3 linked regions of the Drosophila melanogaster genome follow. The protein of the gene in region 1 interacts with the protein of each later gene in a pairwise test. Each region holds a gene or a part of one and is shown in the gene's direction. Other genes may lie near its edges.

Region 1 (9,760 bases):
TACGATTACTATCGATCACGTTTATTCGCAGATTAATCCATAGCGATAACCAAGCGACAGCTCAGGCCAAATGCCTATATCTTAAGTGGGTGTCTATAAAATCTAGATGTGGTAATTGGCATTCAAAGTTCGGTTTAATATATTTCTGGGAAAACATATGTCGAAACAGGGCCTATCTTTATTAGGGACCCCAGTGGCATTCGTACTGATTAACACGAACTAAAGAAGTAATTCTTGATACAACAAAATAAGTACAAGAAGTTAAGCCAACCAGCGTAGAACGACTGCTTCGTAGGGCATGAGAATGATTCTCTGTGACAGATCTGCTTTTTGCCTGTAAATCGTTTTAAGTTAGTTAAAAGTATAGAAATCAAGAAAGTAGAGAAAACCTACCCCGAATAGTGTGTGGAGTAGGCAGTGGCCAGCACATACTCGTAGGTTTTGGGGGCGAGCCCATCGAGGATTTCCATACCGTTGCCCATGTTGACCAGGATTCGATACTCCTCGCTGATCTTGTTTGTGCTGTAGGATATCAGGATATTAGGATCAGCAAGAGGATTAGAAGAGGATTTGCTTCACGTACCGAATGATCTGTAGAACCTGTTCCGTCACCGCCTCGTAGGAGAAACCTCCATCCTCTTTGAACGCAAGAAAGGCGGAACTGCTCTTAAGTTCTTGAAGACCCTTAAAGATGTTCAGGGAAGATCTGGAAACACCGCGTTCAGTCTGCACATTGTACCGTTGATATTCGGGACTTAGAGGCAGCCAGGTGGACTCCCCATCAGAGAAGTCGGCATTCTTTCCAGCCGTCCACTGCATGGGCGTGCGCTCCCCATCGCGATCCTCGCAAGAGTCGCCGGTGCACTCCACGTCCACGTTGGACATGCCAATTTCCTCGCCGTAGTAGGTTACCGAAGCACCTGGCAGGGCGTTTACAATCACATTTAGTAGATCCACTTTGTGAGCTCCCATACGATCGGCCACTCGGTTGGTATCGTGATTACCAACAACCCAATTGGCCGTCTGGTGCTCCTTCCACATGGTATTCATCCAGTAGTCGATAGATCCCACAACATCCTTGGCGGTGGAGTATCCACTGAGATACATCAACTGGAAGTTCATGGGCAGCTGGGTACCCTGATGGGTGCTGTTTCCGAAGTAAGCACTTAGTGTCTCCACGGAAGAATAGGCCTCGGCCAGGAGAACCCGTGAATCGCCTCCATTCTGCGCCCGATAGTTGTCCAAAAACTCACGCCATTCGTACATGAGATCCACCGTGGCCGGCTGGTCCTTGGTGTAGATGTGATCATGGTAGTCGTAGGCGTTGGGGTCACTGCCCCAACCGCTAACCGGTTCATCCGGATAGGATCCGTCTGCATTGCGGTGCTCGTAGATGTGTGGAACTGCATCGATACGAAATCCATCAACTCCGCGGTCCAGCCAAAACTTCAAGACATCCAGCATGTGCTCCCTGACCATTGGATTGGTAAAGTTTAGATCCGGCTGCTTCACCTGAAACTGGTGCAGGAAGTACTGCTGGCGCTTCTCGTTCCACGTCCACATGGGTCCGCTGAACACACTGACCCAATTAGATGGAGGATCTCTTGCACCAGTTTCCTCATTCAGTTTTCCATCGTCCCACACGTAGAAGTCGTCGTAGCCATCTTCGCGATTCACGGACTTTTCAAACCACACGTTCTCGTCACTCGAGTGGTTGGGTACAAAGTCGAGAATGATCTTAACGCCCAGCGACTTGGCCTCCACTATAAGGTCATCGAAATCCTCGAGAGTGCCGAAAATCGGATCGATGTCATAAAAGTTAGAGATGTCGTAGCCGAAATCCGACATGGGCGAGGTAAAAATGGGCGACAGCCAGGTGGCCGTGATGCCTATTTCCTTGAGGTAGCCCAATCTCGAAGTAATGCCTTTCAGGTCCCCGATGCCATCGCCATCGCTGTCCTGGAAGGAGCGCGGATATATCTGGTACAGCGAGGCGTTCTCCCACCAATCGATATCTGCAGTACCCTCCTGGGTGGTGGAAATTAGAAGGAGAGCTGCTAGCCCGAGATGTGCCCACTTTGGCATTTCGATAGCGTTTGAGTGGGCCAAACTCAATTTGCTAATACCAATTGCCATGTAGCGATTGAGCAGTCGATAAGGCACAATTGCACCGGCCAACTGGTAATCTATCAGTTTTATCGCATATTTGCTAGATTAAATAACAGTGGACTGGTCTTTCCCGCTCTCGAATGCTCTCTTTTTTGTTGGGCATTCCATTAGACCGCGAAATGTCGTAAAAGTGCAATAAAGTACGTTTGTTAAAGTTATAAATTGATGACTGGCCTGAGAATCACAAGCTGCATCAATATCTTTTAGTATTTATATTCGTAGGGTAACGGGTTTAATTACAAATATAATATAGAATTTATAGAATATAATATATTTTACAATTTATAAAAATTACTACAAACATATTTCAGTGTATTTGAGCAAGACAGATAATAAATGGGCAATAATGCGTGCACGGCCAAAATACTTTTGATATACCATATGCTTTTTTCTCGACAACAAAAAATGTTTAGATTTATAATACTAATTAGGTCACCATTTAGGCTTTACCTTTACAATTCCACCTCAATATGCTCCAGAGTTCACAAAAGATGAAATCATAAATTGCATGTAGAATTCTTGATACCACTCTAGCCACAATTCAAAGGATGTTTTTGTATTTTTCATGATAAGCTTTTTGAGGTACGGGTACTATCTAAACCATCTGTGGTTTCATACAATCAATATAGCTAACAAATACATGTATATTTTGAGTTACCTTTTAAGGTAGTTTACTACACTAACGCAACCTGATGAAGGATGCATTTATTGTAATTGACAGACAGGCGGACGGACAATCTTAAGTGGACTTTACAAGTTACTGTACTGTACAAGTTACTGCGAGTAAAATATGACATTTTTATAGAGTTAGATAAACGCAGGAAATATTTTCCTCGAAAACGCTTATCATATGAATGTCGACCTACGCTGATACTGACAACAGTTTAGGCCGTATTGCAACGATGATTATGTATTGTCACGCGATTAAAATGCCCCCAAAACTTCCACAAGGTTATCTTTTAAACATTTCCACAGCATTGTTAAGTGTTAATTAATCATGGTTTTCCAGCTTGTTGCTTGTTTGCTTGTAGTTGAAGGAGTAGGATTTGTCTGCGCTATTATCAGGTGACTAATGTCCACTTGAAAGGCCTACCATAACAAAAACAAGGAGGAACAGAAAAGACAGGTGCTGCGCTATATGTTACCCATTACTCAAATTGCAAACAGAAAACCTTCGGTCTCAGAGTGGAACCCAGCAGCAGAATGTAAAATTTAATTCACTTCATATTTAGTTTAAATGTATAGCGTGTGGCAATCTTTTGGAACTATCTCTAGATGTGTTTGCTTTTCTAGAAGCAAAAGCCGTATTCTCAACTGTTTGGCTCTCTTATTTCCCATAATTCCGATATTATACCTTATTTTCGCCGAACCTGTATACCTGCTTACACTTACCGGTAACGGGTATACAAATAATTCCGGATGATATTTGTCGCAAAAATCGGTATTTTTCCAGCAATCAGAAGACATTCGGGAGTGGGCTAATCGCTTTACGTAAAGCTTCGCTGGGAGTACGAAAACAATGACAGTTTCGGTTCGACTCGAGCACCCTGAGAACTCATGGGAGCTGTTTGCACAGCAATTCAAATGGCCACTCAAAATGGCCAGATCTCGATTGGAGCCACCTTATCGACTAGTATAAAAGGCACTGTCAGCTCTCCAGCCCGAACAAAATCGATCAAAATGCGCCCGCAATCAGCTGCGTGTCTATTACTGGCCATCGTTGGCTTCGTGGGAGCCACCGAGTGGTGGGAGAGTGGAAACTACTACCAGATCTACCCGCGCTCCTTCCGGGATTCCGACGGAGACGGCATTGGCGACCTGAACGGGGTCACTGAAAAGCTGCAGTACCTGAAAGACATCGGCTTCACGGGCACATGGCTGTCGCCCATATTCAAGTCGCCCATGGTCGACTTTGGTTACGACATATCGGACTTCTACCAGATCCATCCCGAATATGGAACCATGGAGGACTTTGAGCGAATGATCGCCAAGGCCAAGGAGGTGGGCATTAAAATCATCCTGGACTTCGTACCAAACCACTCAAGTACCGAAAACGAATGGTTCACCAAGTCTGTGGACAGTGACCCCGTCTACAAAGACTTCTACATCTGGCACGATGGCAAGATCAACAACGAGACCGGTGAGCGGGAGCCGCCGAGCAACTGGAACTCTGAGTTTCGCTACAGCGCCTGGGAGTGGAACGAGGTGCGTCAGCAGTACTACCTCCACCAGTTCGCCATCCAGCAGGCCGACCTCAACTATCGCAATCCGGCCGTGGTTAACGAGATGAAGAACGTTATTCGCTTCTGGCTGGGAAAGGGAGTATCCGGATTCCGTATAGATGCAGTTCCCTACTTGTTTGAGGTGGATCTCGATCGCTACAACCAGTATCCGGACGAGCCTCTGACCAACGACTCCGTGAACTGTCCCGACCCCGATGACCACTGCTACACGCAGCACATCTATACACAGGACATGCCGGAAACAATTGACATGGTGTACCAGTGGCGTGAGTTGGTGGATGAGTTTCATGTGGAGAACGGCGGAGATAAGAGGCTGCTGATGACGGAGGCGTACACCAGCTTTGAAAACATCATGACTTACTATGGAAATGGAGTCAGGAATGGCTCCCACATTCCCTTCAACTTTGACTTCCTTACGAGCATCAACAACGCCTCTAAGGCCGGAGAGTACGTAGAACATATTAAGAAGTGGATGGACGCCATGCCCGAGGGCGTTTATGCCAATTGGGTGCTGGGCAACCACGACAACAAGCGAGTAGCCTCCCGATTTGGTGTCCAGCGCACCGACCTTATCAACATCCTGCTGCAGACTCTGCCCGGCCACGCGGTCACCTACAATGGAGAGGAGCTGGGCATGACCGACGTCTGGATCAGCTGGGAGGACACCGTTGATCCGAATGCGTGCAACTCCGATCCCGACAACTACTACGCCCGATCCAGGGATCCTGCCCGATCTCCCTACCAGTGGGATGCCTCCTCCAAAGCAGGTATGAACTTATCTATATTTACTCTGCTTAGTATGAACAATCTACACTGAACTAAAACATTTGGTTAAGTGCGTTACAAAGACTCCGAAATCTCACCTCACTGAAGGGCCATCTGACATTCTATTGGAATACAAATGCTAACATTTTTAAAAGACATGACGAATGATAGCCGTTTGAATATAATAGCTAATCAAATACATTTTATATATTGACGTTGCAGTGTGATAAGAAGCTTTATATGTTCTGATAAGAAAAACATTTGTGATACTTCTATTGTACTAATCTAAGTTTTACTTATGTAGCACTGACATTGCGGTTCTTATTGATATTCCATTTATATATACCACTTTCAGGCTTCACCAGTGCCGATCACACCTGGTTACCAGTGGCTGATGACTACAAAACCAACAACGCCCTGCAGCAGCTGCGAGCTCCACGTTCCCACCTGCAGATCTTCAAGAAACTGGTGCGCGTGCGCAAGGAGCCATCTTTTCGCCAGGGAGAACTCAACATTCAGGCAATCGACGACGATGTGATCATCTATTCACGGCAAGTCTATCAATCTTTAAGATCTTTAAGCTTCGATTACTAAACGTTTGTCTCTCGAATAGACAAAAGACCGGAAGCGATCTCTATGTAATCGTTCTCAACCTGGGTAGCACCTCCAAGACCTTGGACCTGACCAAGTATTACGAACTGGGCACCCAGGCGGAGGTCATTACCACGTCCTTGAGCTCCCAGTACATCGATGGCGATGTTATCAAATCTACGGAGTTCGTTGCCAATCCCTATGTGGGCACCGTCCTAGTGGCTGTCTAAGCTAATTTTATTCAAATAAGTGACAATAAAGTAGCGCTGATAAATAAAATGTGAATTATACATGTACTTATCAAAGTTTGCAAAGTCGTAGCCCATAAGCATGCAAGTGTTTATTCATGTACTATCGCATACAAGCCTCTGCTTCATGCGTAGATGTAGACCATTTTCGGACTTCAGAGTCATGGATGCCGACAAAATTGGATCATACTTATGGTTGTGAGCATCACGGCTCTTCTTCTCTGCCGGCTGAAGACCTAGAGTTGTGCTTATATAGCCATCCTTGGAAACGAGCTCATCCAGAGCTGGCAGCACCTCGAAATTTCGAATGATTTTGGACACCACAGTCTTGATCTCCAGCAGTGCAAACTTCTGACCAATGCAATTTCGGGGACCAGCACTAAAGGGCACGTACTCAAACGGCCCTGGTTTCTCACGGTCGAAGCGTTCGGGCTGGAATTTGTGAGGATCCTTAAAAACACGGTCATTGTATCCCAACATAAGAAGGCCCAAGTTCAAGGTAGTCCCCTTCGGCACAATGTCACCATCTAAAAACATAATCCTGATTACTGATAACGCCTAAATTTGTTTCGAAGATTCACCAATTACGTAGTCCTTCTCAGTAAAGCGACCAATGAAAGGGACACTCGGATAAAGACGTTGCGCCTCCTTTATAAACAAATCCAAATGTTTCATTGTGGATATCTCCTGAAACGTGGCATCTCGACCAAGTCCAGAAGCGCCCATCACATCGCACTGCTCGTTAAATAATTTTTCCTGCAAACAGAAAGTAATATATTATTAAATTCGCTTCGTCAAAACTAGTTCTTCAAATCGGTTACCTGTTCATCTGGATGTCGAGAAAGTAAGTAGACTGCAAAACCTACACCAGATGTAGTAGTGTCATGCCCTTCAAACATAAAGGTGGAAACTTCCTCGTAAAGCTCTTGGGAAGTCAGAGGACGTCCATCCACTTTGGATGACAGCAGAGTGTCCAAAAATGCCATTTTCTTGCGGGAGAACTCGTCAGCCTTAATGCCGACTTCAAGCCCTGATTTTCGGACTTCGATTCTCTTCGCTATTATCTCATTGGTAAAGTCCTGCAGGGTTTTCAGTGTTTTACTATATTCTGGATATTCAGGAGCAAAGTGAAAGAGGTATTTGTTGCGCTTCCACGGACTGAAAGCTCTCATCTTAATGGTGTAGGTAATACTACAAGTGAAAAAAAATTTATGTAAATCTTTAGGAAGATTTGTATATATTATGGAATATCCCATAATACATACTCTTTAAAGGCTTGCACAACGGAGGAACTTCGGTTTTCCATGGCATTGATGGACACACCCATAGCTGTATCGCAAATGACGTCCAGAGTCAAATAATGTGCCTCTTCCTGGAAATCGAAGATGTTGCCTCCGTCTGCCACCTTCTTCAGCTGATCTATGAACTTGGTGGAGTTCTCGTTCATGACCTCGTGAAAGTCCTGCAGGATGTTGAAGTGGAAGGCTGGGGTTATCATCTTCCGGTGTTTGTGCCATTTGCTGCCAGTACTGGTGAGGAGGCCCAATCCCAGCCATGGGTGAGTAAGATCATATACATCGGACTTGGATATCAGAGTTTGACTGCTAAGTATAAACTGCGCAAAAGCTGCATTGTTACCATCCTCGCCTTAGCGTTATTAACATGTCACACTCACCTCCATGTATTTGGGATTAGTGACCATAATATTGGAGTAGTAACCTATCCAATAACGAAAGTTATCCTTGCCGTACTCATGCCACCAGCCAAAAAACCGGTTCAAAATCTCTGGAGAGCAAAGTTAAAACATATCATTACTTGCTCTACAATTAGATAGAAGCCATAGTCTTTAATACAGCAAAAAACGACGGATGAATTCCCTGACGAAGATTTGTTAAGTTAATCCCATTGATCGGTACTGCAGTGACCTTTAGTATATTTAGTCTCAGTGTTATCATTCGTACACAACTGTTATGTGATCAGTCACACCTATCGAGCGATGTTATCTAGAGGGGACTTTGATCCCACACATTGAGATTGTCTAGATGGAGCACCTACCTGTGGGAGTGTTTCCCATCTGATGAGCATTGCCCACCAAAGGCAGCATACTTGGGCCTTGGAATTTGTTCAGCATTCGCTTTCGCCGCAGTAGTCCAAGCTCGAAATAGGTCACCAAGAACAGTGGAAGGGCAAGAAAAGCGCACAGTACGATCCACATTTTGAATGCGACCACAGACAACCGATCGGTGCAGCGAGTAAATCGGATTTGAGTAGAAACCTCAAGACTCTCTGCGTCAGTACTTCAACCGGTTGCGGCAGACAGTTCTCAGTCTCTCGCGCTTGGATATACATCCACACATAAGAAGCAGCCTATGACTATCTCCCAAATTTTAAACTAATATATGGGCACTCAGCATGACCTTCTATATGCTGCGACTAAGTTTCTTGATGAACATTTCTCTTGAAAATGGCTTACACGTGTGGAAACTATAATTTCAAATTTTTTAAGCTAATTAACATAGTCTCAATGGTTCAAAGATTAAAACGAGTTGATTTGTTTCAAAAGTTTTATGTGTTGTATGAGACAAAGTGATTAACAGCTTCCTAATAATTGTATCTGTGGGGACGGCATACCTAAAAAAACACAGGTATGCAAAATTAAAGCACCAAACTTAACAGAGATCAATAAATTGACATTTTAGTGCCTTTCCTTCAGCCGAATGTATAGACCATTTTCGGATTTCAGGGTCAGCACAGCGGAAAGAATAGGGTCGTATTTGTGACGGTATGGATCGCGCTTCTTCCTCTCGGCATCAGGGAGTCCAATAGTGGTGCTTATATAGCCATCCTTAGAGACGAGCTCATCCAGAGCAGGAAGCACCTCGAAGTTCCTAATGATCTTGGATACCACAGTCTTAATCTCCAGCAGGGCGAACTTCTGACCAATGCAGTTTCGGGGTCCAGCGCTGAAGGGTACATACTCAAAAGGTCCTGGTTTCTCCAGCTCAAAGCGCTCAGGTCGGAACTTGTGGGGATCTTTGAACACCTTTTCGTTATAACCCAGCATCACGAGACCCAGGTTCAGTGTGGTGCCCTTGGGTACGAGATCCCCATCTATAAGCAAGTATGGTACTGTTATGTAAAGCTCTTTAAATTGCTTTAATTAATGGTTACCTATAACATAGTCTTTCTCCGTAAATCGTCCAATGAAAGGCACGCTGGGATAAACACGCTGGGCCTCCTTGATAAAGAGATCCAAGTACTTCATTTGGGATATTTCCTGGAAGGTGGCATCGCGACCCAGTTCGGAATTACCCATTACTTCGCGTTGCTCCTTAAATAGTTTGCGCTATAATAGCAAGGGAAGTTAGTCATTTAAAGATTTGGCGTCTCAAGCAATGTACTGAACCTGTTCATCTTGATGTCTAGAAAGCAAATAGACAGCGAACGACACTCCAGAAGTGGTAGTATCATGTCCTTCAAACATAAATGTGGAGACCTCTTCGTACAGTTCCTTGGAGTTCAGGGGACGACCATCAATAGTGGAGGACAGCAGAGTGTCTAAAAAGGCCATTTTCTTGCGAGTGAACTCATCTCCCGCGTTGGTCGAAACTGCACCCGATTTGTGGGCTTCAATGCGCTTAGCGATGATCTCGTTGGTAAAGTCCTGCAGTGTTTTTAGAGTCCTGCTATAGGCCGGGTAGTCCGGAGCCAAACGATACAGCAGTTCATTGCGCTTCAGCGGGT
Region 2 (12,634 bases), on another chromosome or scaffold:
ACAATCGCCACCTAAACCTGAGTCTCACGCAAGACATCTATGATGCGCTGAGTCAGGATGGCTCCTCCTGGCCACCGCTCCACCAGCTACAGGAGCAGTTCAGAAGTTTGGAGCAGAACTTGGTGCGACTGGCTAAGCCCCATTCGGCGGACGATACCTTCCGGAATTACAGTCTGGATCAGATTCGGACGGAGGTGCCGGGTCTGCATTGGGACGAGGCGCTGAGGACACAGCTGGGCAGATCGGTGCCGGGGAATCATGTCTTCCAGGTGGACGACTTGGACGCGATCGAGGGGCTTGTGGAGTACCTCAATACGGTAGATACTCTGCTGCTCAATCGGTACAGCCTGGCAAGATTTCTCAGCCACCTGCTTGAGCTGCCACATAACCCGCTGGCCACTTGGGAGTCCGGACAGCGGTCGCGGGGAAGGAACTGTATTCGTCACATGCGCCGCTCTGTTTACCTGCCGATGAACTACGTCTACGAGAGAAGTTTCTACTCCCGGCGCCGCCACGCGGATGAGCTGGTCATCCACAGCGTCTTCCAGCAGCTGCAGAGTCAGCTGGAGCTGCGGGTCCAGCACAACGCCTTCAATCTAAGTCAGGATCTGGTGAAATCGCTGCAGGCAAAGGTGCACCAGATGCGCATCAATGTGGGCAACCTACCGCCCAATGTGACGGAGCAATTCTATTGGGACAGCGACCGGCGGTGGAGCGTGGGCAGGGACTTCTACGAGAATCACCTGAACAGCCTGCTCTACTACTACACGCTCGTCGCCGATTTGGAAAGCAGCTCGGACCAGGAGGAGCGGGACATCTGGTACAGCTTCAATATGCATACGCCCGAGTTTCCCGACAACATCGATGCCACGCCGTACTTCTACTGCCTGGGCAACATCATCTTCGTGCCGTACTCCTACGTAAAGCGTCCCTTCTTCGATGCCAACTTCTGGCCAGCGCTGCTCTACGGTGATCTGGCCAACACCCTGGGCCACGAGATCATGCACGCCTTCGACACCGATCTGGTGGACTACGATGCGCAGGGTAATCTGCGTAACTTTAGCGACCAGTTGGGCGAAGTGGAGCTCTACAACGGAGCGGTTGGATGCCTGAACAGCAGCGCTGTTATGCTAAACGAGCGCACCTCCGACGTCAGCGGATCCCGGCTGGCCATGCAAACCTACGGTGGCGACTGGCTCACTCGGTCGGGCAACGGGCGTCTGTACTTCCTCCAGTTCGCCCACTTCTTCTGCGGCGACGAGGGCGACCAGTACCATGACTCCGGCAGCCAGCGGCTGAACTACGCCCTCGGCCAGGTGCCGCAGTTCGCAGAGGTGTTCCGGTGCCATGTTGGCTCCGGAATGACCAGCGCGGACCAGTGTCCCTTCTGGTGAGGGATGCCCAGAGACGGTCGGTGACTCCCACTGCTAGTCGGTGTATAGCTTTAATTAGGAACCCAAGTATTGTGAATAAACTTCTATGCTTAGCAATTGCGTATGCGGTTCGCATCTGTCGGGCGGATTTTCCGACACGGACTGAGTTAATTTTCAATTACGTGTGCAACGTGATAGACAAGACATCGGTGAGCAGTAGATGCCCTTCCAGGATGTTCGCTGTCAGGCACTGAAAAAATAGGGGGGTAGGTACTCACACCTACGCAGAGGAAATAAAGAAAATGGGATGCTTCCTTCAGTCGAAATATTTAACAGTGTGAGCGAGAACCTTTTTAAAAGTACAAAATGTTTCGACTCTGTTTGTGCACCTTGAACTTTTGCCGATTTCCTCTGCCGAAGAGCTCACGTGTGCTTTTCCTTGCTTGCCCACGGTGCGTATGTGTTACCCGGCGTGCTTTTATTTATTTGCTAATTAACACCCATCCTGCGCGGAGCAGACGGCAGCCCAGAGGGCGACGACCATCCAGAATCCGACTTAGATTCCAAATCCCGGCCCCAAGTCGGTGGTTGCACTGTGCAACTTGTTGAAGGTCGTCGCGCAAATCGCTCATACGCCGCGTGGGTCTTGAAGGCGCGTGGCAAGCGGTCGGTTTCGCCTGGCAACCGCATTAATGGGCCATTAACAACCTGCCGGGATGATAGCGCGTGAGCCGCGTGTCAAACAGCGGTCAGCCCCAAATCGTGGTTGTTTCCGATGAATGGGCGACCGTACGTTTGTCTTTGCCCCACAAATGGACTAGAAACGGGAAACTTGAATTGATTCTGCGATAAAGAACGTATGCCTCGAGACACTCGAGCTACTCATGTGAAATGGGGTGTGGGGCTCAGTCATCTAAATCAATATTCTGCGGTTCCAATTTGGTATGTTTCAGATTATTTTCTAGTTTCTTGTGAGTCAGCAAAATGTAAAGGATAAACACATCTTTAGCAGTCTGAATTCCAGAGCTCATCCAACGCGGCTACATTATGCTGAGTGTGGGCTATTGCGATATGGCCAGCAGTTCCTCTTTCCGTCGAACGGCTTATCAGTGCTGAATTTCATTCATTCATGTAATTCAAAGCGGCTGTGCATTATATTTGGGCTGGCTTATAATTAGTTTTAAAATAAACCGCTTGGCCAGCGGAACGCGGAAAGCCGAGTGACGCAATCGGAGCAGCGAATTGCGAATGGTGTGGTGTTAGTCGGAAGCCAGCAACAAACTCGCTGCTTCTGATCGCCACGGCGGTGCTCCACTCGGCTCGGCTGAGGTTCGTTCCTTGACCCCCGGATTCCGGCGGTCTTGCCCGCCACTCGGGGTTCCATGTCACGTGCGCTCGCTCGGCGGAGTAAGTATGTATGTATGTATGTGGGTCTGTGCGGAATTGATTGATTTGCCAGCGAAGGTGGCGCACTGGAAGACAGACAGACAGACAGACTGACAGACGGACGGACGGACTGATAGGGCTGATGAAATTACAAGTCGCGCATCGTCATTCAGACCGATTGTGGGCATGTTATGCGAGTAAACGGATTTTGCGGCAATGAAATAATTGCCAACATTACAGAACTGGTAGTGTCTAATTAACCCGCACTGATAAAGCGGGGTACATGCCGCCGCTCAGATTTTCAAAATTGCATGGCCCTGCATTGAGTGCCCAAAATCTGAAACCAAATATTCGCGTTCCGGTGTCGCCGACAGAAGCGGTGGCTACTTAGCAAGTGGAACCACTGCGTCCCCGTCCATTCCAGTTGGATATGGAACGCCAGCCACATGAGTTTATCATAAAGCACCCACTAAATTTTTGCCGCTGCTGTTGGCGACCACAATGTTTGTAAATGTTTTTCACCGTCGAATGGTATTTCGGGGATTGCTTTGTTTGTCATTTGGGGTATTTGCCAACTGACCAACTACTGTCCATCTGAATGATTTTGGTGTGCCTCTTTTGGCTTAAATAGCAATATATTCAGATACCAATAAAGGCACGTCTGATAGAATTCAGGCCACGGGAGCAATCCGTTTGAATTTATCGTATCATTGAGTTGTAAGCCGTTTTGGCCGTTAATAGCCATCGAATTCTCATATCTTCACTGGTCTGCCTAGAATATAAGTTATTGACATTCTAATCATTTTCTTGAGCCCATGATGATATTTAAAGTCTAGATTAGTTTACGGTTTAAAAAGCACTGAGCTTTGATGCTGATTCAATCAGCTGATTCTTAATTCGTGGTGATTGGCTTTATTATCAGCTGTGATATTCCGTAAAGCCGGCAAATGAGCCCTTAGATCGATGTAAATGTACTATGTTATTTGGCGCAAATAACCACGCTTTTTCGCGGTCTTTTGTTTACAAAATTAATTTGTAATTTGTTTATGAAGTTGTGCGTGTTAAATACTGTGTTGCCTAAAGTAGATCATAGTTCAACAAGGAAATCCTTAACAAAGTAAGTTAACTAATTTATATAAATAGCCGGCCTGTTTTAGAAAGCCCAAAAAAGGGTTAGAGAACGCTTTTGTCTTGAAAATTTGGAATATTTGGAAAGTATACCCTTCCCATGTAAACAACTTCAGCTTTGTGATAAAAAAATAGGCACTCCGTTTTGCTAAAAGTAAAAAAGCGCATTAAAACCAAAAATTAAAGATAAAATCGTTAAATATCAGGCAGTTAAAAGATGTATCCCATTATGGAACTTATCATTGTAGCTCTGTAACTCATCAGCTCCAGCTCTGCCACCTGAGCATCCGCAAATCTCAGCCCCTGATTTCATTTTATGGCTCTGTCGGTGTGAAAGTCACTTTGTGGCAAACTGCAAGCAAAGTTCTGCTTATCCCTGGGGTCCTGAATTCGGTTCGTTTTCGCTCCAAATTTCAGCAATAGTCAGATGAAGAATTTTCAGTGTGTGATTTTTATTGTGGCTGCAATTCGCCTGGGTCTTGTTAACATTCGCATTTTTCTCGGAAAATTCGTTCGGTTGCAGTATAATGATGATGCTGGGAGTTGATTTCGCTGAGTTACTGCAATAATTGGAATTTAAATTTTAAGGACTTTCCGTCAGCTGTCTTTCGAGTGAATCCTCGGTTATCCCTTCTTTCCAGAACCTTACATTTTACATCTATTGCACAGCCCTAATATTACCTACCTGTTTTCTTTGTTTCAGGTCACCTGGATATATATTTATAGCGGAAAGGTTCGCGAAAATAATTAAATATCGGTTAGCGCGAGGAAAATCCATCGATCCGACAGCTGCGGCTGTTAATCTTACCTGATCGCTGCTAGTTGGATTAAGGAAAATCTGAGGCAGTGGGTGGGCAATAAAATCTGCACCCAATCCATATTTTACCTGATCATTGTATATAAGCTATTAGCAAAATGCCAGAAAGCCACAGTTACAAACTGAAACGTCTAACGTCAACAACAAGACAGCAAACTAATACCAAAATGGTCCTAAGCAATTCCACGCCGAACAACCAGTCCAAGCACAACCAGATGGTAGTGGACACGGCAGCCATGAACAGTGATGATCTCAGCGAGCTACTGCAGCTGAACGCGGAGATCGAGGAACGTCGTCGCTCCAGCCGCCACGGAGATGCCAGCACCGCCTGTGGCCTGCTCCGAGCTACGATGACCAGGGAGGAACTCTTCGAGATTTCCTCGCTGGATGATGATCGCTTCCTGACCGCCCTGGAGTACCAAAACTCGTTTGCATCACCGCGCCGAGTGCAGGTTACCGACCTGGACTTGTCCAGCATCGAGAATCTGATGAAGTACTTCGACGAAGAGGTACCTGTGACGCCAACAAAGACACTGGGTACCACCAAGGCAGCGGGTAACACGGGTAAAGTGGCCAGCACAATTGCCAAGTTGGCCCTCCAGTCGGATCCGGTCACGCCGCCCAAGCCAAAAGTGGGTAGTGGCCACCTAAAGATCAGCGAGCTCAAGCAGAAATACGAACAGCTGCCGGAGATGGAGACGCCACGCTCTGCATATCAGGCTTCCAGAAAGGTATCCGCGTCGCTGCCCATGAAGGTCAAGGAGATGGCCCAGCTGTTTAACTCCAAGATCAGCCAGGTGATGCGACGTACAGAGGAACCACAGTATGTTCAGCTGCAAAATGAGATGTCGCCGGAGGTTAAGGCACAGAACCGCCTGGTGTCGCCATTAGAGTCCCCAGTTCAAGGACCCTGCCTGGTGGCCGAGGAAGTTTTCCGCGAGTTGAGCGTGAAGGACAAAGCCCTGCTGTTCAACAAGTTCATCGGTGACATGGCAGCCAAGCACCCCAAGTTCACTGCACATGCCGCAGATCTCAAGGAGAAGGTAAACAAACAGGTGGCACGAGGGGAGGTGGTGGCTGAACGACAAGCCAGTGTTAAGCATCTCGCCCAGGAGTTGGAAGCGAAATGTATCCTGGAGCCGGGATCGCCACCGCGACCAGGTGGTGTCTCTCCCCCCAAGACGACTGAGAGCAAAACGGAGACATGCACCTCCCAGCTGCATGTGAGCACCCTGACTGTGATCCTCAAGCCAAGTCCAGAGCGCAGAGCTCCACAGCCACGACCCCGCCGATGCCTGGATCGTCAGAGCGATGAACATGCCCGAGAGCCATCCCAGAAGCGAAACCTCGCCGCGATTCGCACCATGATGCCAACGGAGGCCTATGCGCCACCAAAGAAAATCCGACGCACTCGACAGGAGCGCACCGGTGCGGATAGCCAAATGTTTTTTCAGAACGAACACCTCGAAACCCTGTTCTACAGCTGGCTCAGCTCGGAGAACGGTGTCCAGTTCGACATTACGAGTGTGTCTGACGGTCAGCAGACCATTGAGATAGCCACCGAGGAGGGTAATCTTCTGGAGCAACCGCTACTTGAGCCGAGCACCGCTACTCTGGAGGATGTGAGCCAAAAGTCCGCCGTCGAGCGGCTTCTGGAGGAGGCCATCGCAAAATTAGAGCTAGATAACGAGTCCAAGAAGGAGACACAAGTCGAGGAAAAGAAGGAGATGGATACAGCTCAGGATCCCATCGTTCAAGTCACTCCGCGACGCATTAAGCGCCAGGCGCCGCCAGTGCCAGCCCCACGACCCAGTCTAAGTCAAGTTACCTCCAGTGCATCCAGCTGCAAGCAATCCGAGGCTGAGGAAAGTGAATCCGGGTTGTCTACACTCCCCAAGGTAAGTGATATCTTTAATAAGTGGATTCATGAATGTTGACTCATTGTTCTTAATTTTCTATCACAGATAACCAGCGACGAATCCCAGCCAGAGACGCCCAAGGATGACTTGCAGACAGGTGAATTTGATTTTGCCAAGCCCCAGCGTCCGCCACGCAAGAAGAAAATGCGCCGAACTCTTACATGGAAAAAGGAGAACTCCATTGTCGAGGCCACTGCAATAACCTCAACGGACTCCGATTCAGATTACAAGCCTCCGCTATCAGGAGCGGCCAAGAAGAAGTCCGGTGCTATCTGTAACCCACTTCCAATGCCCGAGCCAAGTTTCATTGAGTTGGATAAGTCACTGATGCGCCACTTGAACTCGCCCCGGAAGATCAAGTCGGCATACACCCTCACCGTGATGTCATCTCCCTCGCCGAATGCAGACAGCGATCAGTCTCCTAGTCAGACACCAAGGCAATCCCTGGTACAGGCCATGCGGGACAGTTTCGTGGATCAGGGCTTTGAGACATGCTCGAACGATCCGATGGACAACAGTCCGATACGCCGATCTTCGCTTGGAGCCACGGAATCGAAGCCATCCGGTTTTTCCACGCCAGTTAAGGGACGCCATGCTTCCAGTCCGGCGCAACAACAACTGTTCAGTCCGATTCTCATCCAGGAGCGCCCTCGTCGCAGTTCCCTGGCCATGCAAGTGATCCGGGAGGATCATCCGCTCGATCTGGACGCCACCTCCAGCTCACCCTCCACACCGTGCAGTGAGCGGGAGTTCTTCGCCAATGCCCCGACTGTTGAAATTGATAACTCCCAGGATGAGAGTCCGACCGGCAAGGCGCACTCAATGTTCTGGATCACCTCTGGGGACTTCACAGTCTCCCTGGAAATCTTCAAGAACAGCCCGGAGCGCCTGCGACTGCTGTACGAAATCTTCACCCAGAAAAGCTGGGAGACTCGTGACCTGGCCTTCGGAATCGACGGACACAAGTTCATTCGCGGAGCTCCCAGTTCCGACTCCGTCCGACAGTCGCTGCCCGAGCGTCCACCCAGTGTGAAGGGCTGCTCTCACTATTGGTTCGCCAGCGGAGATCTCGCAGTGCCCTTCAGCGGAAAACTGATGTCCAGCGAGAAGATCGAGCGGCTGTTTGCCTTCCTCAGCGGAGAGCAGTCGGAGTTGCGCTTCGGCGTTGACCACATTGAGTTCAGCAGCGTGCCTGAGTTCTGGCCCACCACCCAGAAGTATTCCATCGAGAGCAGCTACAGCATACTGGTGGGTCTGCAGACAGGTGCCAGCAATGGCCTGGAGGGTCGCAGCAAGTACTCCTGGCCCAACAGCAGCATCAGTGCCAACCAGGCGATCAAGACCAGCGACCTGGATCAGACGGAGTTCGAGTCCGATAGCTTCGGCAACAACAGTGGTAGGCTGTCCTTTTCGCCTGATCTCTTCTCCCTGGACTACGAGGCGGTTCCCCTGGACGAGCTGTTTGCCAAGGCTCCTCCCTCTGCCGCCACACCCGCCATGTCCGTGCCGCAAATGATGCAGACCCTCAAGCAGCAGCAGTCCAAACTTCGCAGTGTGGAGCAGCGCATTCGTGGCTACGCCAAGCCCGCGAATCTGGCCGACTCTTCGCTGGAGCACTGCCGCAACACGCCGCAATATGTCCACAAGCTGCGCTCCATCATCCGGGCCATTGACAACATTGGACGCGACGATGGCTTCCGCGGCTGCTCGATGGAGCAGCTCGAGAGCTTCATGTACTTCCTCAGCGAGTATGCGGATGTGTGCCTGGCCAACTGCAGCGAGCACATGGACAAGATTCTCGACACCCTGATGGACCGGAGGGCCGTGGAGGTCTGAGCGATGGTGCTACCTCATCGGGATCTGACTTTATTTTAAGATTTTATAAACAATTAGTTCCTAGACATTAACATATAATGTTACAAAGATTTTAGATAATAAACTTTAAAGAGAAAAGTTAAAGCCATTCAGTGTATTTCCTTGGGCATGCAGAGTCCAACAAAATCAGGGGTTCTGGAGGGCATAGCTCCTTGCTATCCTGCAGACACGTAGGAGTCTGGCAAGCATCACGTTTCCTGCAAGCACATGGTTTCTTTTTCTTGCTCTCATCAAGCAAATGCTCCTGTTGCATCAACTTCAGACATTCCTGGCCAAGGATACCATGTTAGTGCACATCCAGTGGCCAAGGGAATCCGTTTGGGGCCAAAAGGAGTTGCTGGGTTCGGTTCAATAACAATTTCACGTGCAAAAGTGCTGCGCAAACATGGTATCAGAGAAAAGTACTAACTATTAATGCAATAAATGGTTACTTGTTCAACATAAAATAAAAGTCCCGTCGACATTCTTTTGACTTTCAAATAAAAAATAATAGTTATATTTTTGCACAAGTACCACTGGTCAATATCAAGAACCACAGATTACTGAAATAAAAGTCGCTTAAGTTTTAAGAAGCAATCCCAAATACATAGATATTTTATTTGTTTCTTTCGCAGTGCCAGTTTGTTCCGCTCGGGGAGCAAGTTAATAAATATACATTATCACTCTTATCGTTAAGAAACACAAACTAAGGCCTATGATATATGTAGGTATTTAAATATATATATATATATGTATTTCTGTATGAGTAGTTTAGAACTTACATATTTGGATTTGGCTTTATTTGGATTATTTCTCAACTGTAAACCCGTCTTAACTGATCAGCTAACTAAATTATGTATCAACAGTTTTCGCTTCAATCGTGAATATTCGTAATTCATATTTGCTTAGTTACTTATTTAGGTTAATGGTTTTTGATTAATGCATTTTAGGTGCCTGTTTTTCAGAGTATTTAAGCCTTTCGCTTTCCCGTTAAATATCTAGTTTTGAAATGGTTTGATGCCTACTCTCGTACAAATGAACATTCATTTCTAGTGCCTATAACGAGTACATAATTTACAATTGCATTTGGGGTTTTATCCATGCATATACGCGCTTATTTACAGTTGGAGGTGAGTGAGTAGTGCTCTCTTTTTAACAATTTGGCATCATTCGAAGGGTATACTATTTTTTCCCACTTGTATTTATGCAAATTAATTGATTTTATATCTAACTAACCAGGATTTATGTGCTTTGGTTTGCATCGCATGTTTGCTTTGGCCCTGCCGAAATGCTTTTTACAACATTCTTCGCATACCCTCACCGATGGTATAGTGGTTTTAAAACCAAACGAATTTTTAGAAAATATTTTAGAGTGCTTCCGAACGAATGGTAAACAAATATGCGAGGTTGATTAATTTGGTAACTTTGTTTGCCTAAAAACACGCTGTGGTTTTCGCCACCAAACGTAATCAAATATTAATGGGCTGCATAGGGAGTTTCGGGGAAAACCAAAGCTTGACTTCGTTAACGTTTGCAAATTGCAATTCGCTTAATTAATTACACAGTTGTTATGGCTAATCGTATGCATCGGCTTCGAACACCTTTCATTTCGACTGTTTGTAATGGCACTTTATTAAAATGGAATCGCACATAGTTCTCAACCACACGAGTGTGTCGTCAGCAGTGCGAGGATGCAGCAGATGAGGGGCCAACTGGACGCCATTAGGTTGCCATGACTCCCGCTGCTCTTGCCCTTGGACCAATCGAATCCCTTGGGACTGCTGCCCGTCAGCTTCTGCTTCGACTTGTCGATCTCGTTCAGATTCGATAGGTATTTAATGCTCGCTGCAATTGATAATGAAAAGTGCAACGTGTTCATTTGTTCTGCCAACATCAACATCCTATGCATTTTTTGGGCACTACTCACATTTGCCGGACGCAATCACCGAATTTGTGGGTCCTTCGCCCACAATGCCAATGCCATTGCCATTCAGGGGCGTGTTGATGTAGCCGTCCAGTGCGATTTCCGCCGCGGTTGTTGTCGTCCGCCGCAGCGTTGTGGTTGTGGGCGGCGGTTGTGTTGTCGGCGGACTCGACACTACACGTAGAGAAATATTGGCGTACATGAGTGGTAGAAATAATTCAATAAATAGAAGCTATCGCAAAGTGGAACTTTAAAGGAAGTGTAACGCTACATGTCAGAAATGAATCCTTTTTCTTTTATACATTTTTTTTGCATTATTTTATCTACTTTCTGTCAGTGTAGTAATTAAAATAAGGGGTAAGAGCGTGATGTCTGCGCCAAAAAACGGTACCGAACAAAAGTGGATTGCTCAATCGGAAACAATCCATAAACAACTTAAATTAACTGTGAGTTATAAGCCAGTCCTGCCCCAAAAATGTGCGCCCCATCAGTGCCGAAACTCCTTTGCTCGATTTCTAAACAGATATTTTCGGTTACCCAGCCGCATTGTCTTCACTTATCAGCCATCGTAAATTCAGTGCAATCCCTTTTGCCCGCCCTTCCCCCCCGATTCTTTTCAATTTCTTGGCCATCTCCCCGGGGAGGATTAACAACTCTCGGTTCCTTTTCTCGGCTGGCTGCCCTCCGTTGGCATTATTGAAGACAATTTGTAGAGGAAATTTATTGGGCTTGACACTTGGCCTTGCCTCGGCTGGGAATCACGAAACTATAGCCCACTCCAATGCCTGGTTGATGTCGCCTTTCTGCGACTGTATCGCCTCCTGACCACTCAATAAAATTGTCACAGGTTCATTGTTCTCATTGTCGGAGCTGCCCCTTCTATTATCGATGCGGCCATTGTTACCTTTAATTGGTAGAATGACGCCCACTTTTCGATGGGCTACACAGGCCATTGTTGTGGCAGCAGAATGAAAACCGTGTATATATAAATTAAGTTGTCTTTTCACATTCGCCATTCTTGGTGGCGTTGGGCTCTTGTCACCACCTCACAACCTCACCACCAACAAGCGGGCATTTTATTTTGTTTTATGAACTTTTGTAATCGGAATCGCTGCTGCCGAGCTGAGCTTTAATGGCCCAAACAGTGACTGGGGAGTAATTTAGCAAATTGACACAATATTGACACTTTATTGACACTACAGTGGCTCTAATTGCCGGTTGTGAGGATTGCGCATACGCCCCGTTGACGGCGGCAAGGATATGAAGAAAAACGTCGGTGAGACAAATTAAACGCGTCATTTCCTTATTAAATATCAAAATCTAATCTTGCTGTATATTAAAAAGTATTTGGGCACCAAAAATCCTGATAAAATGAACAGTACAATCTGCTTCCTTTGGAATCAAGGAACTGTCGGAGTTTCAAGTTTAAAGACCCCCCAAAATACTGGCGCCCATTTAAAAAGGGGTGTACATATACATTTGCCTATGACAGTGGCGCAATATCAAAGGGTATAAATAACACATATAGCCTAGTCACTTACTGTACAGCTTTATGTTGCCGTCCATGTCGCCCCGAGGATTTTTGGCGACGCACTTGTAGTTGCCATAATCGCTGCTCTGAACGTTGGTAATCGTGAGCCGCATGGTCGCCTTGTACGACGGATGGCCGGGAATGGTTTCGGTTCTGAAAGTGGAGAGACGGAGGCATCAGCGTGAGGCAAGTTCAATGACAGCCATTGTGCTCATTGTGGGTCAGTTCCACAACAGCCCACAATCGGGTATCAAGGCCAAGGTGAAACTGATAAGCGCGCACTTATGTCTAATCAAAATGCGACCTAGCCTACAAAGTACAGTGGCTCCAGGTACTGAAGATCCAATTTAAAGTCAAATATTATAATATCTTACGAGTGTTTAATGCTTTGAAGAATATGCCACCAAATGGGGTATAAAGTACGTTCTAGGATCATGTTCTTCGAACTTTGAACCTATTAAAGCATTTTTGTTAATTATCACCTTTGCCTGAAAATAGAAAGGTCAAGTGGTCAAGTACTGGGTGTGTATATATAGCTAGGATCCACTGCTCCTCCCACGATGATGACTGACAGGCGATGGGCCTGCTCTAGTCCGCAGTCTCCGCGATCCGGGCAAATCGTAGTCCGGCCAGTTGCAATTTGTCACAGTCGAAACCATCATGCTGAAGCTAAGCCTAGTGGCCTGGCTCATATTTTCGCTG
Region 3 (9,204 bases), on another chromosome or scaffold:
ATGCAAATTAGATATGGACCTGCGACGAAATGAGTTTTTCATCAAGTCTAACAACTTAATTAGCTCATAAAAATGACGCCCTCAAGCTGTTAACCCGCCTCCACGCCCCAAAAGCCTCCAAATATTACCGTGTTCCTGCGTGCGGCGGCCACTTAAGCGCGCCACAGATTGCCAATGCCCTCTATCTGCTCCCCAGACTCGTTTCCGTTTCCGGAAATGCCGTTCCAGCGCCCAGGTCGTAGGTCACGGCGTAGGCGCAAAGCTAATTAGTATTAAGTGCTCTTGCGGCACTCGAGGCCTTTACCTCGCCTTCGCCATCGTTTCCTCTCTCCGCCAACGTGCCCCATGTTGTGGTTGGTGCTCCACGGGCTCCATCGTTCCGCATTTTTGTTGTCGCCTCGGGTGTGGCAAAAAAATATTTTTGTGTGTGCGGTCAGTTGTTAAATTCCGGCAAAACGTTCGCAGCCAACATTTTGAAGCATTATGATTGTGGCTTAGATGCTCTTTTGTGTATAAAATCATTGTAAAATTATTTATAAATATTTTCATAGGATATTTTAATGGCCTAATTATTATATTTTTATATTATTAACAGTTCAAAAATTTACATACATTTTTTAAATGATTTAAAAGTATATTTCCAAACGAATATGTGAATAATTATATTAAAAATGTCAAGACCGAGAAGGCATTAATGCTATTAAGGTAGCAAGCAAGCCTTAAAGGACTTCTTTAGTAATAAGCAATGTCCTTTATTCTAGCTCTTTAATTTACATTTAATTGTAAATATAATGTTTATAAGTTGGGCTCTATGAAGTTCTTCACAAGTGAAAAGGCCATTGCCATTGGCAGGCTTGTATAAGCGATTTAGTAACGCTTGAGCGAGCAATGAAGTCAGAGCCAAGTCCACGATGTTTTCGGCTTTTTTGCCTAATTTGTGCCCTAATTCCTTGGGCCTGGAATAATGATGATGGCAATGAGATTTAGGTAAGAGTGCGAAAGAAACGAAAGTCCAGTGGGGGAGATATAGATTATATTTAGATATTTATCTACATTTCTGCATTACTATAACTATTACAATAAATTTCAACACATGCCGTACAAAACTCTGTTTAGTTAAATTAAAAAGAAACTTATTTATTCACTTTTCCCTTTGCTTTCACCCAACCATTTTCAAACTACGTTATTAATTTGCCCAGCCAAGTTTCTACCCCATCTCATCCGGAATTCCGGTGCACGTAGTCGCTTTACTTTAGTTCCACTCATTTCCGCTCCTCACATGACTTTATGCAATAACATCCAAATAAAATTATCTTATCAGCCACTGAAGCATCCTGCGTGTCCTGCGCGTGCTGAGTGTGGGCTAATTTTATTGCATAAAACTTGTGCTTATTGCGCTTCCTCCTCCCCCGGAAAATCCGCCACCTCCTTCGTCCAGCAGGAAAAATTGCACGTTCCGGTCATACGATGCGAACGTGACCGCTTGACCATAGAAGGACCAGGAGATTTGAAGCAACGCACTTGGGTTGTCCTGCCGGCGACGATGTCCTGTGACATGTCCCATTTCCATGTAATGGACATGGCTTTGGGGCACCACGAGCTGAATTACGGTAATTCATGGTAATTTTTTGTATCTTTCGGCGGTCGAAACACGGATGGCAATTTGCTTGTTGCTCCAGAAATGGATCCTAATGTCCAGGGCAAGAAGTCAGGGAGTCAGGGTTAACATGACTGCTAGTGTAGAGGTGAAAATTTATCAAAATTCTTCAGTGGATAACGTATATTTAAGCCGCTTTGCAGCTTCACCTCTTCTCAACGCCCCATCTTTAGTGATTAGTATAATTGATTTACCTACTTACAATTCATATAACCTAACTCATCCAATAAATTATACTTCAAGAATAAGGTAAATATGTTTAGAACATAATTACACTGCCAATCAACAATTTTGGAACTTAAGGCGAAGCGGGAAACATGTGAGCAGAATGCTACTTCGAGTCCGTCATTAATGATTATCTATCTGCAGAGTAGAGGGAATGTGGCATCAGGATGCTAAGGACTTGGGGACAATGAGGCACGTACTGATGTTGCAATGAAATGACAACGGCGCAAGAACAGCAAATATAAATGCAAATAAACATTGTGTGGCAAGCATTTGTGGCTCGTTACATGCTAACACAGAGCCACTCACGTAATGACTGTTTACACGTTGCTAACCTTATTAGTTGGGTTTCGTACATAAATACACTCGGAAAAACCAAACATGATCTTCTTGCACTTAAAAAAAACAGCACTCAAATGTACATATATATTTTATTAACAAAAAAAAAGGCACTTCTATAATATATAAAACATCATAAGCTATTATCCAAATCTTTCATCAGAGTGTGTGCATCCTCTAGGAGCCTTCGAATCATCAATGCTGATTTTCACAAATGCGGTCAGATCAGTTGGAAAAACATTTTTGTGGCGAGCTGTGTATATGCTTACGTACAAACTTATTAAATTTTCCTGCTTGAGTGGTTCGTTTTGTGTTTGCTGGATGATGGGTTTTATCGGAGCCAAGTCAAATGAAAATTGTTGATTATTTTCTAATGCGCTCCATCAGCTCAGAAATGTGAAATATTGCTATTGAACGTCGCAAAGCCAATGGATTGATAAAACGAACACCACACCCCACACGGACTTAATTATTTTGCACAAAATGCGATTTATTAAAGAATATTTCACACCAGCCGGAGTGGGGAATCGCATATCAATTGTGATTTATTCAACTCATCAATTCAAGCATTTCGATTACTGTTTTTCAAGATAAAAACGAAATGAAAGAATGAGTCTTGAATATTATGGCAAACTGAAAAGGCTTGAGCAGGAATTTAAAGTAAACTAAAATGTCAGACTGACAGTTGCATTCGGAGATAAGCATTTGGTAGCACTAGACTGAAATTGCAATCCAACGAAAAGGATTCGATGCAGTAAAGTTGTCACAAACAAAATGCACAAAAAGGCACACAAAAGCAAATGTCATTCTTAGGCAAAACATGAAATTTAATATCCAAGCGAATGACGCTTCCAAGTGAAATTAAAAACCGAATTTCCAGTCACACAATGCCCATTCTATTATACACACGTATGTATATACATTCGAGTTTGCATAGAGCAGTTGATATAGTGTAAATATTTTGACATGGCAATATGTTGTCACAATCATGCCTGTGTGTCGTCTGATGAGTGTTTGTTCGAAATTCGGCCATTGTGGAGCTGAAGATGGAAAGTTTATTTGTTTGCCCATGTCCCAGCATTTGCTGTTAATTTGTTAAAATTTCACTTTATAAATAAAATTCAACTCCTCGCTTCGCTTCGCATCGCTTCTCTGTGCAGGCTAAGTTAAAACGTGGTCGCCGAAGGTTGGCTGGACGTTTGGCATTATTCCGGGTTGTCGTACCATAAGTTTTCCAATTTGCATAACTTCCGCAGCAGTTGGGACTATAAATATGCAAAGGGTTTTACGACCGCACTATATGCAAGTGCCTCAAGAAAACGTTTTCTCAGACCCATTCGCCCCCACCCCACTTGCTCTTGGCCCACTTGGATGGATGACTCCCAGTGTTCTGTTGGTTGTTTGGCTGGTTTCAGTTGCGCTTGAATTGAAATTGAAGTGTCCTAAATGGTAGAAGGCTCAATGAGAGCTGTTTGCATAACAGATGATCGAAAGGCCTAGTATTTCTTAGCTTAAGAAAAGGATTTTTATTTACAAAAATAAACTATATATACTATTTATATAACTATGCATAACTATACACATAGTTGGCTTTTAATCAGATGCCAGCTCGGACACAACTCAGCGCCGACGTAAAAACTAACTTTTTGATCGAAATATTGTAAAAATCGAGTTTCGGATATAGGTATAAGTACATATCGAACTCAGTGGTAAGTGGATGAGAGTGGCTCCATGCCAAAAAAAAATAACATCTCAGATTCTCCAGCGACATAAACTTCGGTATAGAAATCAAACCATTTCGTCATGGGCTTTGATCTAAACTGCATTGTGGGCCACGTTGACGAGGAGCTCATCTGTCCAATTTGCACAGATGTCCTGGAGGAGCCGGTCCAGTCATCGGAATGCGAGCACGCCTTCTGTCGCGCCTGCATCGACAAGTGGATGATCCAGAAACAGATTTGCCCGGTGGACCGCTCCGGGCTACTGACCTCACATCTGGTGCCCGTTTCGCGCCTAATGCGCAACATGCTATCCCGCCTAAAGATCAAGTGCACCTTCTCGCAAAGCGGTTGTGCCCAAATGCTGGCCCTCGAGGAGTTCCGGACCCATGTCGCCGCCTGCGAGCATAATCCCAAGGTGGTTGTCGAGTGCAGCAAGGGGTGCGGAATGAAGGTGAACATTCTGGGAATAACTTGAACTGCTTAAGATAGCTATAATATTCCCGCTAAAGGTACCCAAGGACGAGATGTCGCGCCACAACTGTGTGTTCGAACTGCGCGAGCTGGTGGAGAAACTGGCGAAGGAGGTTTCCGATCTGAAGCAGAAGCAATCCGATATGGAGGAGCAGAGCTCCAGCCAGCGCCGAGAGATGGAGCTGTTCCAGTACTATATCGCAGCACTGCGATCGACCAATCCCATGCTGCGCAACATTGGCGAACAACTGGACCGCTTCTCACTGATGCAGTGGGGCCATGGACTCCCTCTGGCCAACATCCATACGTGGGGCAGTCTGATCTCCACGCCGGACAATCCCATGCACCTGATGGTGCGCGACGTTTTGCGTGAAAGCGGCTGTCCGATGCATATGCTCAATATGCTGGTTGAACGTTGCCACGAGGATCGCTGGCCCGAAGGTCTGATGACGTTGGACGATCGCCGCGAGAACCAACATCTCATGAGTCGGTATGTCACCCGATTGGTGCCCGGTCTGGTCATTGGCAAACCGTGCGTGGTTGTTCTGGGCGGCGAAAACACCCACATGCCGGAGAATCTGCGCCCCATCCTCGGACTGGTCATGATCTTCGTCGACGGTGTGAATGAGGTAATATTTGGCGAAGAGATTATTTAAGCCAATGATGGGTCACCACATCCTGCTTGTATCCTCCACATCTAAATTCATTTTGGTAACACAACACAAAAGCGCAACTGGCTGCCCGTTTTCCACGTCCTTTGTTTTGGAATGATGGTCATGTTGCTTCACTGTCTTAAATTACACGATCGTACTTCAAAAGTCGTCAAAATGAAAAATATAAATATGTTTTATCAATTCGAGTTACGTAAATAGAAAACAAACAAATGGTCGTGTTATTTTTTAATGTCGGACCTTATGAATAATCTGAGGGCTCCCAATACTATCGAAGAGTTTTTATGAAACGTATGTAATTTTGAAATTTTTAAGGTTTTGTTAAACTTCCCTCATCGATTGGTTCAGTGCAGCAACACTCACAGTTTAAAGTTGTCGTTGTAGCTGACAGATATTCTTCTCGGCAATTACGCGGCAATTATAGAAGCTCAGTGAACACTCGGGCGTATGCGTAATGTTGGAGCGAAATTAAATAAACGCATAAGCTGGGATTGAGGTTGCTCCTTCTGTGGGTGGGCGGTTGGTTGGGCTTGCGGTGGGTGCATCAAGTAAAACTTATAATGGAAATGGTAAAAGTTTGGCTGTGCTCGGTTCGCGGCAGTTGGCGACACCATTTGGAAAAGTTTTACAAATTGTACAAAATTTAATTTCCCAGCTGAGATAAATTTTCGGGACCATTACGATTTTAGCCTGCAATTGAAAACGAGATCTCTGATCAAATGAAAATTAATGGACTGCAAGCAGCTTACTTCGATGCGATGAGCTCACATTTGGGCAAATATTGTCCATTGAATGAAGTATACACCGAATTAGTGTCAAATCAAACACGACTCTTTGAACTAATTAAATGGTCCGGTACACACAAAGGCCATGTACGGCTAACTTGATTAAGCCAAGACGACGACGCAGTACAAAGGACAACTAACGAACTAACCACCGAATGCTGCAGCTAATACAATGATAGATGCCGGCACCTGGGAGCCCTTTAACTGGCTGCCTCAGGGCTTGCTGCAAAAACCGAAGCCTAATGCAACAAAAGCCAAAACTTAATTAATATTTACATGGGTCCTCCTTCGCCAGAGGAAGTAAGCTAAAGGCTCAGTGAAAGCTGATGTTGTGGCCTTATCTTGTCATGTTTGCATATGTGCAGTCGTCGCTCTTCCTGGTTCCTCCCCGCTCCTGAAATCCAGTGGCGATGGTGATGGTGCTCCGAGTCTGAAATGGAAGGTGGTTCTCCTGCATGGCTGCTAGAAATCAATTCGCATTGTTAACCCATGATTGGATATTATTGATTCAATTTGCAGCCAACCGACCAAAACATGTTTTATGCATGCCCATGCCCATGCCCTCGTCCCCCGCCAAACTTGCCCCTTTTTGTCTGCTGGTGCATGTATGGCGATAATGTCCTTCGGTATCGATAATGGTCCACATGCACGCTCGCACACTAACACCAACACCCGCGCCGACACACACACACACTCGCATACGCATACGCACTTGTAGTTGGCCAAACTTCAAGCTCAACTCAGTTTAATTTATGCATTTGCTGCACTCGGCTGGTAGCTACAGTGGGCCCAAATTGTTCATTATCAAATTTGGGCATCCCAAGCTAGTAAATAAAATAAATATTTTTAAAAAGCGGTTTTTTATTCATTTCTATGATACTAAAATGTTGTAAATATTTTGTAAAGATTTTGGGTCAATCATCCACAGGTAAAAATACGTTCAGCAATTAGGCATGTTAATTTATTTGTAAAGCATAGCTCGCTTTTCGAATTATATATACATATCTTTTGCTTTGTTTATTTAATTACCATAAATATTTCGACATATTTTGTACGAATCAATACTTTTTAAAGCGAATCTGCTCCTTTAGCTTTGATTCCACTGTAAACGCTTATCAGAAGCATGGAGAGCAATAGATGTCACCATTTCTACACATCTTCAGCACTAACTTTTCCTTTATATAAGAGCTTTTGTAGTTGCAACGTATTATTTTTAGCATATGCTTGAGACCTCATTATCGAAGTAAATATATGGGAAGAACTCTTAAATCTTGAAAAGTCCCTTAATTTGTAGTATGATTACTATTTACGGCATCAGCATTACTTAAGATAAATATTACTATTAACTCTATTGCAAATGTATATGTTTATAACATGTTTCGTTAGAGGACTCTCAATATTTTATATCTGTATTTCAGACCCCTCGAAGAACTGAAATTTGTATAGGCCGAATGTTGTAAATCGCTGCCATATCAGTGGTAGTAAAGCTCGATAGCACAGTACTAATCATCCAAAGGTAAATCACCGAGGGCAGCACAAAGGAAAATGTGGCGAGAAAAATGTGCAACAGCGACGGCCTTCTTTGCCAAGGCTAAAAATGTGAATGGGCCAGCCCAACACAAAAACAGCGGCAAAACGCAAAACACAGTACGGCGGCAGTAAATTGGCGGCGATAAAATTGAAATCCGCTGGAAGCTGTGCTAACCGATTTGGCCCAGTCCTTGGACTTTGGACCACCTAGAGGTGCAAAAGGAAAAGCGAACAAGTCGGCGCGTTGAGTTGTGAAAACCGAACGGAAATAGCGGCCATAACTCGCCAGTTGGAGCCCAGAAAATAGCAATGGAAACGCCATTTGGTGGGATTTTTCTTTCCCAGGACGCTGTTGCCTGCACGAATTGATTTGTCCTTGTGGGAGGCAATATAGGGTAGCTTTGATTAGCGGAGATTGGCAAAGGTTTCAATAGCGCCGCATGATCGATTCACAGGGAGTTGGTCGGGATTAGCAACCATTGTGTGTACGAAAAACTAGTGTAAATGACTTTTCTGAACTTTTCTTAAGTATATGTTTTTATTAAGAACAGCTTTAAATGTTTTTAAATGTCAAGAATATAAATAGAAATATATAACGAGGTTTATTCCTTCTAAAGAAACGGAATACCCAACCAGTCTAGATCCACTTGTATATATCACCTGAACTGTCCAAAAACTGCTAAACGATTTATTAAATTTATGTATCTTTCCATGGACCAACATCAATTTTATTTTCTTTGCGGCGAGAATGTAATAAAAATGTAATGATATTTATTAAGTACTCATTTATTTGATTAACGGCGAAAAAGAATATTTTTATTCGAGTTGAAGAGTTTCTTGGGTGGAAAGGTGTAAGATTTGTTAGTTACATATACAATTGAACATGGGCTTTTTTTTTTCGTACCTGAATATCTTATTTTAATCATTTAGGTACGTCTTTTCATTCCCCATGCCAGTAATAATAATAATAAGTCTAAGAACTTGGCTGTGGATATCGCTTTTAACATGATTTTGTCATTTGGGTATATTTGCCGTTAACTTCAGTTCAGCAGCAATTTTCGCACTCAATGCAATCAGCTTGTTTTTCCTTCGGCTGATTGTTGCTAATGCGCTCTAAGTAGCAGTATGCCACATGCCACGCCCATGCAGTTGCCCGTAGTAATCAATTGCTCCAAGATGGTCCCGAAAAGCCGTTCAGTGCGCCATTGGGAAGGGCTCTGTTTCCTCTAACAACTCCTCTTTTTGTGCTGGCAATTTACTGCAATTGCATCGGAAGCAAAAAAAAAAAAAAGATAAACTTTCGTTTAATGCCCACACTTTTGGGTGTCGTTTCCAGCATGACACCAGCAGAAAGCAGAAAATGCTATCAGATTTCAGCTAAATGCTGATCCCTAAGGAGCAATAGACGACTACCGTGAGAGTGGAGATTGGTAGTATTTTGAGACGAAAGCCATTAACTCAATAGCTGAAGCCGAAACTATAATAGTCTTACCATTTTAACTATATGATTTAATGTGTATAATTGCTAAATAACTAAGCAGTTTCTTAATTAATTATCCATTAATTTTCTTAACTTTATTAAGGAGTAGATAGATATAAACTCATATGCACAAGTATTAAACAATGACCCGTTGGTCAACTTAAAAGGTCCTGGTCAACATCATTGGATTATCCTTTTTGGGCCCGAGCCACTATTATAACCAACAATCCTACTCTTCCTAATGCTCACTTTAGAGTGACGGTCAAGGGGAATTTGTGTCAGTTCCTGATAAAACTTTTCTAGCTTTAACTCAAACCAGTCTAAC

Evidence for each region.
Region 2: the proteins of Mal-A1 (region 1) and slam interact in a two-hybrid assay, tested with the Drosophila melanogaster proteins (one large-scale study listed by BioGRID).
Region 3: the proteins of Mal-A1 (region 1) and CG9014 interact in a two-hybrid assay, tested with the Drosophila melanogaster proteins (one large-scale study listed by BioGRID).

Annotation. Positions count from the first base shown.
Region 1 is NT_033778.4:8,445,974-8,455,733, reverse strand, and holds Mal-A1 (maltase A1), read left to right. Parts: upstream 1-3,829; 5' UTR 3,830-3,849; coding exon 3,850-5,179; intron 5,180-5,532; coding exon 5,533-5,728; intron 5,729-5,790; coding exon 5,791-5,998; 3' UTR 5,999-6,070; downstream 6,071-9,760. Other genes in the region: Mal-A2 (maltase A2), read right to left, coding at 262-334, 394-522, 584-2,085; Cyp4e1 (cytochrome P450 4e1), read right to left, coding at 6,113-6,543, 6,598-6,772, 6,838-7,207, 7,282-7,631, 7,692-7,801, 8,072-8,231; Cyp4e2 (cytochrome P450 4e2), read right to left, coding at 8,712-9,127, 9,188-9,362, 9,423-9,760.
Region 2 is NT_033779.5:6,368,706-6,381,339, forward strand, and holds slam (slow as molasses), read left to right. Parts: upstream 1-3,682; 5' UTR 3,683-3,876; intron 3,877-4,590; 5' UTR 4,591-4,871; coding exon 4,872-6,602; intron 6,603-6,668; coding exon 6,669-8,459; 3' UTR 8,460-8,579; downstream 8,580-12,634. Other genes in the region: Nepl4 (Neprilysin-like 4), read left to right, coding at 1-1,394; DIP-epsilon (Dpr-interacting protein epsilon), read right to left, coding at 10,135-10,322, 10,405-10,575, 11,943-12,085; Nepl5 (Neprilysin-like 5), read left to right, coding at 12,593-12,634.
Region 3 is NT_033779.5:13,718,258-13,727,461, reverse strand, and holds CG9014 (uncharacterized protein), read left to right. Parts: upstream 1-3,819; 5' UTR 3,820-3,930; intron 3,931-3,977; exon of another isoform or gene 3,978-3,986; 5' UTR 3,987-4,024; coding exon 4,025-4,393; intron 4,394-4,451; coding exon 4,452-5,069; 3' UTR 5,070-5,301; downstream 5,302-9,204.